2 linked regions of the Lonchura striata genome follow. The protein of the gene in region 1 purifies or fractionates together with the protein of each later gene. This does not show direct contact. Links are inferred from orthologs where the notes say so. Each region holds a gene or a part of one and is shown on either strand. Other genes may lie near its edges.

The links.
Region 2: the proteins of VDAC2 (region 1) and FAM162A fractionate together in Homo sapiens (co-fractionation; 3 studies listed by BioGRID and IntAct, with this or other methods). This does not show direct contact. The link is inferred for Lonchura striata from reciprocal best matches to the Homo sapiens genes VDAC2 and FAM162A.

Annotation. Positions count from the first base shown.
Region 1 is NC_134609.1:11,428,483-11,436,143, forward strand, and holds the start of VDAC2 (non-selective voltage-gated ion channel VDAC2), read right to left. Parts: upstream 3,010-7,661; 5' UTR 2,845-3,009; intron 1-2,844. UniProt on the Homo sapiens protein: Non-selective voltage-gated ion channel that mediates the transport of anions and cations through the mitochondrion outer membrane and plasma membrane.
Region 2 is NC_134604.1:29,259,582-29,266,470, reverse strand, and holds the start of FAM162A (protein FAM162A), read right to left. Parts: upstream 3,003-6,889; 5' UTR 2,887-3,002; coding exon 2,871-2,886; intron 1,903-2,870; coding exon 1,783-1,902; intron 1-1,782. Other genes in the region: protein MIX23, read left to right, coding at 3,185-3,235, 4,251-4,376, 4,861-5,160. UniProt on the Homo sapiens protein: Proposed to be involved in regulation of apoptosis; the exact mechanism may differ between cell types/tissues.

The sequences.
Region 1 (7,661 bases):
CAGAGCCTCCGGCCACCCTGCTGTTAAAGAACCTGCCACTGCCGATGGGCCATGGCCCAGCCCTCTGGCCCTATGGACAAACTCCAGGCTAAGGTCTCACCAGGCCCCTATCACTCTCCTCCCTGGGAGCACACACTCTTATCTGTACTTCCTTGAAAGACTGTTTTCCCATGATTTCAACAGCAAGAGGCTGCTGTCACAGAGGCCTGCAATTTTAAAGTTGTGAAATATAGGAAACAGAGCATATTAGTAACTCCCCCTCGACTGTGAAAAGGGGCAAAATGAAACTAGATAAGGCCATGAAAAGGCAAAACACATGAGAACAAAAAATCTTATCTTCTCAAACTGATTGGTCACATTTGTTTAGCTGAGAGACTCAGAATAACATAACTGACTTCTTATCTTCCTTTTGTGTGATTTTTCTCTTTAAGTAAATGAAAAAACTATCTTTAGAACTTGAAAAATAACAATGGCAGTGTTCTCACATCTTAACTTCCAAACTCTAATTACACCTGCCATATACAGCCAAATTGTATGAACTGCTATTAATTAAAAAAAAAAAAAAACCACAAACTATTTAGTAATCAATGGGGGAGGCAGAAGACTCTTCGTTATTTTTCTACATTTCATAATGCAGATTTCCAGAGTACCCTACTTCAGCTCCCTATTGCCCTAAGGGGATAATTTCAACCTCCTCTGAGAAACAGTATTTACAATCAGTTTCACACACATACACACAAATTCAGAAAAACGTGTTTAGCAAAGATGTCTAAACTCTAGAGCCAGTCACTATATCAAGACATCTATCACTTGTTCAAAAATAAGTCTGGTTTTCCATGGAGTTAAACTAAACATTATTTTTTTTAAAAAGAGACATGAAAATGGCCTAAAGTATCTGAACTTTAAAGAAGCCAAACCCAAATTAAAGTTTATAGAAGAACAGAACCTAATCCCAGTGACAAGTCATTAAATGGCTCCTATTATGTTTTCCATAAAAAAAAACAGCTGACAGACCAATTACAAGGGAGTGCAAGAACTCTTGCCTGCAGTCCTCCTGTACAGCACCTGTACAATTCAGCACCTTAGCATATTATAGACAAGGTTCAGCTACACGTTTCCTCTAATGAACAGATCTCACCTCTAACTAGCATTGCCATAAAAATAATTAATTCTAGTTTTGGAGTTTTATATTAGCCTTTACCACAGACATGCTTTTACAGTATAAATAAACAAGCTTTTCCCTTTTGCTTTCAATGTTTCCAAATGCACTAGACAAACAGTACAGACAAGAGATTTATGCTAAGCAGAAGTGTATTGAGAAGTTAACAAACTGTCAAAATTCAGAGGATTATTACAGTAAAAAGGATGTTATCATTTTATCTGGCCTAGTTAAGCATCCTTACCCCTGCAGGGAAACCAGCCAGTATTTGTCAGACATTCCAGTCTACAGATAAAAGTTTTGTAATAAAACGTTGAAATAGAGTACAACTGTCACACTGCTGTTCTAATACTATACTGTAACACTGACAGGGATGGATGAGGACAAAACAGGAAAGCAAGAGTTAATTTTGTACATACTAAATGTCTGATAAACCAATGTCACCATTAGAACTCTCATTAAATGAAAAAAGGGCCATTAAAAAATCAGACCTGTGTCCTTTAATGTTAGATAGGCTTGCAAACTCATAGTCACAAGTAATTTTTTCAACCCTATTTTGAAGCACCTTTCACTTAAAAACTACTAATTACAAATCACTAAACAACAAGCGTCATTTAGCAACTAGAGATTTGTTGTAAAAACTGTAAAATAATCGACTTGAAGTACAGAATATACTTGAGCCAAGTGAGAGCTCCACCCTAATCTTTGTTTCATGCCACCGTGATGAAGTTTAATTAATCTGTCACTCGGGAGCCACAATCACGCTTTCTTCTGCGATAAAAAGAAAATCACCCAAAGAACAGAAAAATGTATTAGTATTATTGAAATTACTACATCACAGTTCTCCTTGGAAGTAGTATTTCAAAACTCTCAAGCTCTACAATTAAAAAATGACACAGACCTCTATTAGGATTTCTAACAATCCCAAGATCTCAAGATATTCAAGATCAAACTACAAACCCTATCAGCCGATAATAGATTGAAAAAAGGGTACTCACCAATTTAAAAGTCAACAAACTACGCCGAAATTATCCCAGTGTCACAACAAATAGCAACAAAAGAACTGAGATTATTCAAAAATTAATTTGTTAAAATACATCGGACACACGGTGACCTTCAGGCTTACACTGATACTACAGATGCTTAAAAAAGCCACCTCCTTACCCTTGCATTAACGCTCTCCCTACACACAAACCGGAGGTGGACACGGAAGCCTAATGTGGGCCAGGCCAAGGTAGAAACTTTAAGGACAGGATCTGGAAATAGCTTACGGGCTCAGGAAGCGAGGCGGGGGCAGTAAAGTAGCGCCTCCCGGAGGGAAGGGCGAGCGGGGATGCGGCCGCAGCGCGGGCAGGGCCGGGCCGGGCCGGGCCGAGCGGCGGCCCCAGGCCGGGCGCGCCGCCCGCCCCGCCGCAAGGTGAACCGACCCGCTCGGCGCGGCCATCTTGGGCATCCCGGCCTGACCTCCGCCCGCCGAGCCTCGCGCAGCCGAGCCCGGCCGCGGCACCGCGGGGACAGCGGCCGCGGAGAGGCCGCCGCCCGCCCCGCGAACCCGGCAGCGCCGGGACGAGCCCGCGGCCCGGCCACCCCCGGCCCACGAGGCCTCAGAGCCGCTCGCCACCGGGCGAGCCCCGCCCGCCCCCCCCCGCATGCTCCGCCAGGCCCGTGGCGGCCGGGGCCGGCACCTGCGTGTTGCGGGTCGTCGGCGGAGCAGGGCTGAGGCCGGTCAGGGGCGGGCAGAGTGGTCCGGCAGGCCGCGCTGCTGCAGCCGCGGGCAGTGGAGGGCGAACTGAAGGAGACACTGATCCGCCCGCCCGCCGCCGCCGCCGCGCAGGACCCCGGCGCGCCGGGGCCGCCCATCCCGCCGCCTGCCCCGCCCGCAGCGCCACACCACCCCCGCCCCGCGGGAGGCGCCGGCGGCCGCGGCCCGGAGCTCGGCAGCGGCGGGAGGTGCCGCAGCCCCGAGCCACAAGCCGGACGGCGGCGGCGCGGCCGGGCAGGCGCTCGGGCGGGCAGCCCCGACGGCGGCGGGGGCCTGCGGGAGGGCGGGGCCGCTGCGCGGGGCGCGCGCAGGGGCGGGGCCGCCCGCGGGCGCGGAGGAGCCGCAGAGCGGCCGGGAGAGCCGCGCCCGGGAGCCGCCCGGGGCTGCGCGGCAGCGCTCGTCCCTCCGGGGACGGGCGGCCCTCGCCTGCGCCTGCCGCAGCATCCCGGCGCCGCTGCCCTGCCGGGGAAAGCACCGGCCGCCCTCTCGGGGCCCAGCCCCTCCCGCGCTGGCACACGGACGGGAGACGCCCTTCAGCCGCGGCCTTTGTGCAGATGGCGGGCCTTGCTCCTCACAGCCCCCAGGAGCCCTTCCCTTCTCCGGGGAACGGCGCCCGCCGAGCGTGGGCGATGCTGCAGTGCCCATATCGCTCCGCTGGCTGCTCGCCCTTGCCCCACTGCACTGAACACATCCCCCCTCACAAGCTCTGTGCCACGGACACACAGGGCCACCCGCAGCACGGCCGTCCCATTGCCGCTCCGGCAGCTGTAGCCCATCGAACAAGGTGTCGAGCCTCCTGCCGACAAGTTGCCGCAGACTTTCAAATTGCCTAAGCTCCGTTTTTACCTCTTCCAATCACCACCCACAGACACCTTCCCCATAAAAGCACAGTGTGTCTCAGGCCGAGAGAAGCAGTGACCCTCAGATACGTTTCCCAGACAGTGCTGTCTGACCAGAAATCATAGCTGGAGAACAGTCACACGACTACTGTGCAGCAGGAGGAATCGCCGATTCACCAATGCAGACCATTGCAAGGCCAAGGAACTGCACAATAACCGTTTCTAAAACTCATATTCTTCTCTCCTTGCCTGGGTTATGACATGATCTCAACTTCTTCAAGAAAGCAAAATTCGTTTACAAATACACAATATATTTGTGTGATACAGAGAATACATAATATCACAATTCATTTTCCAGAACACATGGCACAACAGTAATTTTCCAGTATATTAAGAGAGCAGGTTAGTAGAAAGGCCCAACATAACGCCAGTCTGCACCTGTTTGTTATAGCAAAAGATAAGCAACAGATTTTGTGTGTGTGTGTGTGTGTGTGTGTGTGTGTGTGTGTGTAAGTCCAATGCTTTCACATCAAAAGACCCAAGAGATGTTTCATTCTGACGGTTTTAAGTAAGACAGTTTGGCATTGCAGAGATAAATATGTGTTGATGAATCAAGAAGGAAAGCCACATACTGAGAAAATAAATAACAGCAGGAAAAGAAACCCAGTGTGTCTTACTGTACATGGAAACATACATTCAAAATAACTAGAGATCTGATTAAGTAAAAATAAGTAAAAATAGATTGTGGAATAAGTTGCTCATTATTTAAAGACATGCATTTATTATTCATACCAGTCCTATAAATAAATCCATTCTGAATAGAAGTCCAGTTGCTTATAGGAGACATCAGCATTCTGCCTTTTTTTTCCCTTTAAAGATTAATATTTTAGTAATGGTTTGGCTTTATTTTTAGCAATCTAGGAAAGTAATTACTGCCCTGCCCTGAGCAAAAAAAGCAATGAATCACTTGCTTTGTGAGACAAGGCAGAAGCAATAATCTGAGACACAACAGCAAACTCCTCTGCATTACAGGCTCTGTTGCAACAGCCTTTGCCTGCCAGTGTTTTTTACTCACTCTTGCACTGCCCCTGCCTTGTACAACCATGCCTTATTGCCTCATGCCTTAGCAGATCTACTCGAGCTCAGAGCCCCAAAAAGGCACAGCTTCAGGCCTGCAATAGCAAGCCTTCTGAATTACTCTGCACCTTTCTTCTCAGCAATTTCTTCATACCACTTAGTGCACACACCTCCTATGTAGGTGCACTTCCTCTGAATGGGCTGGTTTTCTACTGAAATTCAGCAGCTCTCCAGTTTTGGGGCCAGTTGCAGTTGAACTGTTACCATTTTGTACGAACACAGCCGTATTTACGTATAACTGACATCAGAGTCACGTGTTTTACTGCTACCATTTGGAGAAAACCCACAGGTCACTGTAAGTTTAATGTCATTTGAACAAAAACTCTGCTTCTCTCTCCACAATTTAGAACGTATGTGAGCAACAAAAAGAGAGCAAGTGTCTACAGTACGTACCAGTGTCCACCATGCAGTTCAGATAACTTACGTTCACTTCTGACATGAGCCTGAAGTCATTGCTTTATCTTCCCTCCAGATGCAGATGTTCAGCTGATGATTCCCTGGAGAAGCCTTACAAATGATCTAGCAGTTGCATCCTGAAACAAGCTGATTTAGGGCATATAGCAGAGATGCTGAAAGTGTAACCAGCAGGGAAAGGGTGGAAAATAGTTGAAGCTACCAAGAAACAAATTCAGAATAAACAAAGCCAAGAGTTTTTCTATGAAAGAGTGCAATCCAGTGGAATTACCTGACACCAGAAGCTAAATGTTTATATGGGCTCCAGGGAAACTAGACAGGCTTGTGGAAGAGAAATCCAGCAAGGATTACTAATTACAAATCCATTCAAGAATTACATATTGCTATATAGCCTGTTTGGAGTCAGAAAATGCCCGAGTTGCAAATGGAAGTATCATTTAAGTTTATCCTGTTCTTGGATTGTTATTATAGGTGTGTGCTGCCTAAATAATTGCTCACTTCATCATCCCAGAGGCAGGGATATTAGATTGTCTACACCTTTTGTCTGATACCCTACAACTGTTCTTATGTGCAAACTAGGCCTCTGGAAAGCCCTAAGAGGGCAATCAGCAGAGGCCTACACTGCCAGGATCCTTTAGACTGACACACTTAATGCCTTTCCATTTTTTTCCTAAGAAGCTTCAAGTAACCTTCTTTCATTTTAGCTTAAATTACTAGGAAGAAGTTTAACTTAAACCAGATTCTAAAACACGCTTTAAACAGGCCCAAATGGAGCTAACACATTCAAATAATCTGACACAGAGAATACCTTAGGTCAGAGGCACACAGTTGATACCAAGAAGTGACTTTAGGGCTGAGGCAATGCCTTGGTTTAACGAAATCTGCCTTGCAGTTAGGGCCGGCCGCAGGCTGCGGGGCGGGTCCCGTGCGGGCCGAGCCAATCAGCGGCCTCGCTTTGAGGCGCCAATCAGCGGCCTCGCTTTGAGGCGCCAATCAGCGGCCTCGCTTTGAGGCGCCAATCAGCGGCCTCGCTTTGAGGCGCCAATCAGCGGCCTCGCTTTGGGGAGCCAATCGATCAGCTGCCCGGCTGTGAGGCGCTGGCCGTGCCTCAGTGCCGAGCACGCTGGAAGCACGAACGAAGGCCGGGCGCGGCTTTTGGCTTCCGGCTCTCGGCGAGGCCGGACTAGGCCGGGCCCACGTGGCCGGCTCGGCGCGCAGCTCCGCTGCGATTTCTGCTACTGCCGGGCCGTGCCACCGGAACTGTCCCAGCGCCGTAGGCAACCACACGGCCGGGAGTGGCCCTGTGGCCGGGACTGCTCGGTCGGGATCCGTGCAGCCCTGGCAGCGCCGTGCAGCCGGGGCCACGCTATTCGGCTATTTCGGCATGGCACACGAGTGAACTTGGTTTACTCAGCACTAGCGCCGGGAGTGGCCCTGTGGTCGGCGCTGAGGGTGGCCCCGGGGCCAGGAGTGGCCAGCGCCATCCCGGACGTGGCCAGGAGTGCGTGTCCGAATGGACACAACTGCAGCGGTGCCGTGCGGCCACAGCTGTCCCGGCGTGACTCGCAGGGGACTTTGCTTAGCCGCTTTAACCGGCTCTGCTGCGGACAGAAGGACAAAAGCAGTGGCAGCAGCGTTTTTCTTTCTTGCAGTGTCCCGCATGAAAGAAAGGCGCGGGGGTGGTGCCGGCAGCCTGCGCGGGTTGCGCTGCTGGCGGGAGCCACATGATCAGCAGCGACAGTCACAGCGATTCCTCGGCGGCGGAGCCTGCACAGATTCAGCCTTGAAATGTTGCAGGACTCTATACTGTTGTAGTTTATAAAGCCCAAGAGCAAATGAACCTACGAACACTAATTCTCCCCTGAGTCAGGAAAAGGAAAGGGTAGAGAAAATACGTAGAGACAATATACACGTCGAGAAAATAACATGGGACACTAAGTCAAGTAAAGGAGTCAAATTCTAGCAGGGAGGGGATTGACTAGATGCCTTAGTCGTGGGCTAAAATTATTTTTGCAAGACTATGGTGAAGGTATATTTGATACAACAAACTAGTTTTTTCCTATAATTCATGGAATGCATTGGGCAGATGTAGTGTTCTACCTACAGCCCTGAGCAGAACCATCAGTGTTGGAATAAGCAGATGTTGCAGTAGCTCTGATCCAATGAAGAGTTTGACCAGAAAGAAATGAGAAGCCTTGCCCTAGGAATAGAAGAAGAAAATAAGATCTCTGTTCCCAGAGATGGATTAAAAGAACTTTTGGTTTTATGCTAGAACAGCTCATCCATAAAAATAGCACCCCAATAAGTTGACATGGCCCATGAATGCAGCTGTGGGAAGGCTGCAAAAAAG
Region 2 (6,889 bases), on another chromosome or scaffold:
ATGTCAACATTTTCAGGTAGTGTAAGATTTTATCTGAAGGTAAAAATAAACAGGTGACCATAGGCAAAGATTGGACGCATAATTATCAGGTCAGTCTATCAAACTCCATAAACAAAATATCCATAATGTAACAGGGGAAGCTTTTCATATATAACATACCATTAAAATCTAAGAAACAAAGTGCAAAGATAGACAGCTTTTTCCTTTTAAACAATAGGCAGTATCCTGTATGGCCATGTTCTCCCTCATGGATTCATGAATTATGTAGGAAGTGGGGTGGATACAGTTTGCTGACAGCACCAGCTTATTCAAAAACAAAGAAAAGGGCTGAGCCCAAAATGCCACGGGGCTTCAGAACTCAGAGTCAATGAATTGGCCTGGGAACTCCCTTGTCCATAAACAGGAAGCAATTCCAGTTCACACACAAGTGACAGACTCTGCCCTTGCTTACAAATCATTACCTAGGCCTGAGCAAGGCCTTGGGGTTCCACAGTGCTTCTGGCAAGCAACAGAACAGGAAACAGCATAACTGCCCCTGATCAGGAACTCTGACCAACACAGCAGCATTACTGAGCCTCTGTGAAAAATTCACTCCAGCTTTCTGAAAAGCATGGGAAATACTTAGAGGGAGCTAAAAGAGAACAGGCACAGAGAACCCTGGTAAGGACAGCCACAGGTATGGCATGGACATCGTGTAAGAAACTGTGTCACAGACCGAGACCGTTTGGCCTGGAAAAGCAGTGACTGAAGCTCTCTTCAGCCCAGCAGAGCATTATAAGAGACATTAGGAGTGTGGGTTTTAATAGAAAGGGTACTGAATAAAGGAAAATCCGATTACAAAAAAGTGCACATTGGGTTAAAAAAACAAACACAAGACTGTAGCTGAGGAATTTCTTCTTAGAGAAGAAATTCTTAGGGAACTTTAGGATCCACATTCTTAGAGAATGTGGATGCTAAAAATACATCTAATCCAGCATCAGGAAATTTGTTGGGGAAAAAGAAATCCAGTGAGGACTATTAAACGCCAAGATGCCACCTCTGGGGCAGTGATATACAGGAACCCTCTTCCCATTCTCTTCCTTATTCCCACTTTACAAAAATGCAAGGGACTTCCTTTACTGGCCCCTGCTGGAGACATCACATTTTTAAGGAGACCTTCCTACCCAGTACAGCTCATTCATGTTTTTAACACAGAGTCATGCCAAATGCTTCACATCTGTGTGTTCCTTTTCTCCTGCATGGGTGTGCCATAAGAAGCCTGTGATACAGGGAGCACAGAAACTGTCCTGTAAATAGTGAAAAAGTGTTTAATCGCTTGAGATGTCCCTTACCAGTTACACCCTTAAATGTGAACAATTCAGACTCTTCCCTGCAGGGCACATTGAGTTTTTGGAACAGCTGCACTCCAAAAAACTGCAAAAGTCTTTTAGCTCACACAACATTTCTAAACATGAACAGTTTACAGTGGGTCTGAAGAAGCAGTTCCAGAGCAGAGCTGAGGAGCCTCAGTGTAGGAGTGTGCACTAGATAAGGTTCTGGTGATCTGCTACAAAGTGAATGCTGTGTGACCCTCACAAGTGGAAACATCGACCCCTGTCTTTTTGTTAGAAAACAAGACTACCAAATTTAATGCTCCATTTTTTCAGTCTAGAGACCAGAACTCTCACAAAATCAGGGATATGATCACCTATATCAGCAAAATTCCTGTTCAGATGATTGCAGCAGGGATATGTGAGTATTCTGTGGCATGAAACATTCCATGACTTTATCAAAGACTCTTACGCTTTGACTGAAGGTCTTGCTGGGGTTTAATGCACAGCCTTCTGCTTATCTTCAGGTCCACTCCCTCGGTCATCCTCAGAATTGAGGGAATATTTCTTCCCAGCAGTTTAACAGCCTTATCTGGAAAAGGAAGCAGAGGAAGAAAAAAGCCAAGTTTAACTCAGAGCAGTAGAAAGTGGGAACCAGCTTTTAAATGGAAGCATTTGGGTTTTTTTTAATATAAGACGAAAAAAAAGAAAGAAAACCAATAGGTACAAGTGAAGGCAAGAAGTACCAGATTTAGTTGTAATAGCCTACCAATGAAAACTTGCTTATAAGGTATGCCTTGAGCTTGCTCAGTAATCTTATGTAGAAAAATGTGAATGCAATTACATTCATTTGCGGGGGGGGAGGGGGGGGGGAAGCAAAATAATGTCCTGCTAGCAATTTCTAAAACACATTACAATTTCCAGGGACTAATCTATACAAATGTTTCAGATACACTTTGGATGGTGCTATTTCAAGGACTGCACACCAGCATTCTATCAATCTTGTCACATGCCAAAAGCATTGAGAGTCAAGTAAAAAAAAAAGTCAAAAAAGCATAATATTTAGCACTGAGAGGTAACTACTTTGTAGCACATTAGAAAAGCCAGGACACCTTATATACGCACACATACTTTACAGTAGGCACTTCGAATGCATTAATTAAGATAATGAAAAAGTTTAGGAAAAAGCTCCAAACAACCAACCAATCTCAGAAAGGCAAAAACGGCACTTAAAAATATAAAAGGAGTTCTTATTTTACTTTGCTATACTGCCTGAAGCTGTCCCTCCTAAGGCCCTTTACTTTCGCGGAATAAGGTACTCCCGCTCTGAAAAGCCAGTAATTTACATTTCCAGGCGACACCGCCAGGGAAGCTGGCCCTTTTAGGGAAGCCGAGGCACGGCCGCTCCGCTCCCGTCAGGGTTTCGGCCGCCAGGCCCGGCCCCAGGCTCGCCTCGGCTCCCGCCCCGCGCTGCGGGCCCGGCCGCCCGCGGTCCCGGCCGCCCGCGGTCCCGGGCCGGGCTCGGTCGGTGCCTCCCCGCCTCCCCCGTCGCTCACTCACCGGCGCGGCCCCACATGGCGCTGCGGGCCCGCGGGGCGCAGCTCAATGTCACGGCCGGGCCCCGCCCCGGGCCCGCGATTGGAGGGAGCCGCGCCGCGGGGCGCTCGGGGCCGGCGCCGCCTCCGGTGGGGCGGCCGGAGCGCTCGCAGCGGGCGGAGGAGGCGGAGGGGAGCGGGGCCGCTGCCGGTGGCGATGCCCTGCCGGGGGCCGCTGCGCCGGGGGCCGCGCTCCGGCGGGGCCCGCCCCGCTCCGCCCCGCGCGTCATCCCGGCTCCCCGCCGGATTGGGCGCCGCGGCTCCCTCGGCCGATCCAGGATGGCGGCGCCCGGCGGGGCCGCGAGCTGCGAGGACTTCGCCGAGTTCCAGGTAACCCGCGCGGGGCGGGCGGGCCGGGCCGGGCCGGGCCGGGCCGGGCGCTGCCGCCGCCCGTCCCGCGCGCTCCCGGCGCTTCCCGCGAGCGGCCCCGCGGGAGCGCGCCCCGCGCGAGGTGACCCCGGTGCCGGGGCCGGCGGGATGCGGCGGGAGGGAGCGGGTCCGGCCTTCCCCTCCCCTTCCCCCTTCCCTCCTCCCCGTTCCCTTCCCTCCGGCGGGAGCGCGGCCGGACCCCTCCCCGCCTTTCCCGGGACGCAGCGCTCGCGGCGCGGGAGCCACGCGGGCGGCGGGAGCCACGCGGGCGGCGGGAGCTCCGCGGGCGCCTCCGCGGCGTGTAAGGGAGCGGGGGCCACCCGTGCCTTCGGCGGGGCGAGCCGGCTCTGGGAACCGGCTGTGTCTGCACCGCGGAATCCTAGAACGTCCTGAGTAGCCAGGGACCCTCCGGAGCCAGCGAGTCCAGCTCCCGGCCCTGCACAGCACGCCCCAGGGGTCACATCGTGTGCCTGAGGGTGTCCGAACACATCTTGAGCTCCGTCGGGCTCGCTGCTGTGGCCACTGCCCTGAGGAGCCTGTCCCAGTGCTCTGCTGCTCTGTGTGAAAAACTTCGTGCTATCCAACCTAAACCTCCCCCAGCTCAGCTTCACGGTCCCCAGAATGCTAGGGGGGTTTTATTCAAAGTTTGCCTTTTTGGTGCAGGTTTGGTGCCAGTTTCCCGTGTGGAAGTGGGGTCGGGGACTTGGGCACAGGCTCTTCAGCCTGTCCATGCTGCCGGCAGGGCCAGGGGACATCAGGGGGCATCAGTTACTCACCCCTGCTCTGGCCCTTGCTGCCAAGGAAACTCCGTGGTTTGCAGCGCATACTCCTGCATGTGGGATTGCTCCTTCGGTGTGCTTCTAGCTCTTTGTAAGGAACCCTATTTAGTTTCTATTAAAATGCTTAACTATGCAAATTTTTTTTGTAGTAGGCTTTTCTGAGAGATATAACCGAGTATCTCTCTCTTTTAATACAGGAGCTGCTCAGGGTGATGAGGACAATCGATGATAGAATTGTTCATGAATTAAACACTACGATTCCAACAGCTTCCTTTGTGGGGAAAGTTGATCCTGGCCAGACGTGCAGAGAGCTGTATGAGTCTGTGAGTGTGCACACCTTCCACTTTCAGCTCTCTTCCCACTGCTTTGTCGTGTGCAGTGGCCAGTAAAGCATCCTCAGTGTCTGAGGAAAATACTGCCCTGGGAGATCCTGCTTTGTGTATTACTAACAGCACTGCTCATCATCTCCACACACTGCTTCAGTTTAAAACCATGCAGGGCAGTTCTTTGTTCTGCAATACTGATCCTTTGAGGATCTTTTTAAAAGGGTGCTTTTCTGCTGCTCTGCAAGACTCCTCATGTTTACCTTTGACTTTTGATCAACTTGGTAAGAGCAAGAACGACAGGGTAATCTAAGGTGAGAGTAGCTGCTGCTCAAAGCTGTGTTGTTTCCCACATGTGGATTATGAATTCAAAGGGATTTCTGTAGGCACAGCAATACCATGACTTTAGGAAGTGTCTGTTTAAACTTATAACTAAGAGGTTTTTATTCTGAGTCACTGTGACTTTCTTTTTCTCCCCACTTAGTTGATGGATGCTCACACCAACAGAGAAAGAATCATCAAAAACTGCATCTCTCAGACTTCTGCCATAGTGAAAACTCTCAAAGAAGAGAGGGAAAAGGCCCATGAAGATGCAGCATTATTAAAGCAACTCAGGAAAGAACAGACAAAGGTGAGTGGTGGAGCCTTTGAGAGATCACTTACAGAGGTAGAAGTGGGTATCTTTCCCAAATGGAAAGACCGGTGTGATGGAGAGAGCCTGCAGTGGATTCTCAGTCAAGCAGTCTTTTCCAAAGTTCTCATTGGCTCTTGTTGGGTCTTGTGAGAATTATTTTTCCCAAGGCCTCAAGGCAGAGAGGTTTTATCCTGCAACTGGAGCATTTTCTGAGATTCTTTTACATGTATACTGTAGAAAAACACATTCTTTCCTGTGGTGGATTCTAACCTTCACTGACTGACAACACCAAGGCACAGCTTAACTTTTCCTGTTCACTACAAGATGCTCCCAGGCAACCTTGAATTCCACTTGCACAACCTTTTTTCTGGTTGGTATTTCTTGGATTAATATTTGGAGTACCTTGTGATGCTGTGAGAGAGAGAATTCTGGGAACCCCACTGAAGTTCTCCTCATTTCCAGGACTGCTTTTGTAAGGAAAAGGATACTGAGAGAACCACGTGGCAGATGAGCAGTTTTATTCTTAAAGCCTCACTTATTGAACTGCCAACAAGCATGGATATTAGTTTATAAAACTGGAGTGGTTGCTTAGTATTTTCTACAAATTTTGTTAGCACAGCTAAATCATTTAGTTACTGAGCCCAAAATCTCTTATTGGAAACACTGGGAGGATCACAATAAAAGTGTTTAATGATTGGAGGTTGCTTCAAATATTAAAAGCAATTCATGATTTAGACACATCTCAGAAATTTTTTATTAGATCACCTCAGATTTGTACTTGGACCCTATGAGGTGTGATCCCCTGACTTTTTTCTTTTTTTTTTTTTTGGCTCTCCAAAACACTGAGAATTGCATTTTTTCTACAAGTCAGAAAAGCTATCTTGACAGAACACATCCTAGTTTTAAGATTGGGAATTTCAAATACCTGTTAACTTTTTGCAATACAGATCTCTTTTCCCTTGTTATGTCTGTTTCTCTCATCCTGCTAGTTGTACAACTTGGAGGACTTCATGCATAATTATTACTTCTGGGTCACTGAATGAGAAAACTCGGAGGAGTAGTTTCTTTGAACTATTAAAGATCCTCTGAGTGTTTATTTTATAGATACTTATCCTGGTCATCAGTCACTCTGGATGCTGGATTGTTATTTCAAACAGATTGAAGTCCTGTTGAGCTGGGGAAAGTGCATCCAACAGCTGTAGCAACTCTGTGTCCTTGGATATCTTACTTGGAAGGTTTTTAGTGGGATTGCTGTCTTTGCTTGCACCTGTTCACCAGGCTTCTAATTGGAACCGTGTATTGAAAATGGATAAACTCCGACTCTTTGTCTGTTGTGTTAAAGACTCCAACAAGAACACATCCTAAATTTGGGCAAAATGGCAGATGGTTCTTAAATCTCCTCAAGACCAAATTACCCAAACACAACTGTCACACCTGCCCCTCAGGGTTTCTAATAGGTGTGAAACAAAGAGATTCTTACCCTCCTCACAGGTCAAGTGAGTGCTCAAAAACTGTGTATTGGTGGTAGTTCTTGCCAGAGTTTTTGCATCTGTGTAGAGCTGATTTGTCCTGCAGTGATGACATAAAATACTAACTGGTTCAGACAGCACAAACAACACGTGATCAGACTGCAAACCTTTTTGGTCAGTGCACTGACTAGATGGCAAATGAAGCAGAGAGGGTCTGTTCATACCTTAGTTTTAAATCCAGAATCCCAGCTGGAGTCGTAGCTTTGCTGCCAGCTTCATATATGACTCTAATGTGGCAACTCAAGGCTACAGGGCAAACCCCAGCCCTGGCATTCCCTGTGCTCAGTGCTTGCTTTAGGGGCAGTTATTTGTGCCTGTGAAGCCATCAGTGTTAATCTGTTAATTGCTAG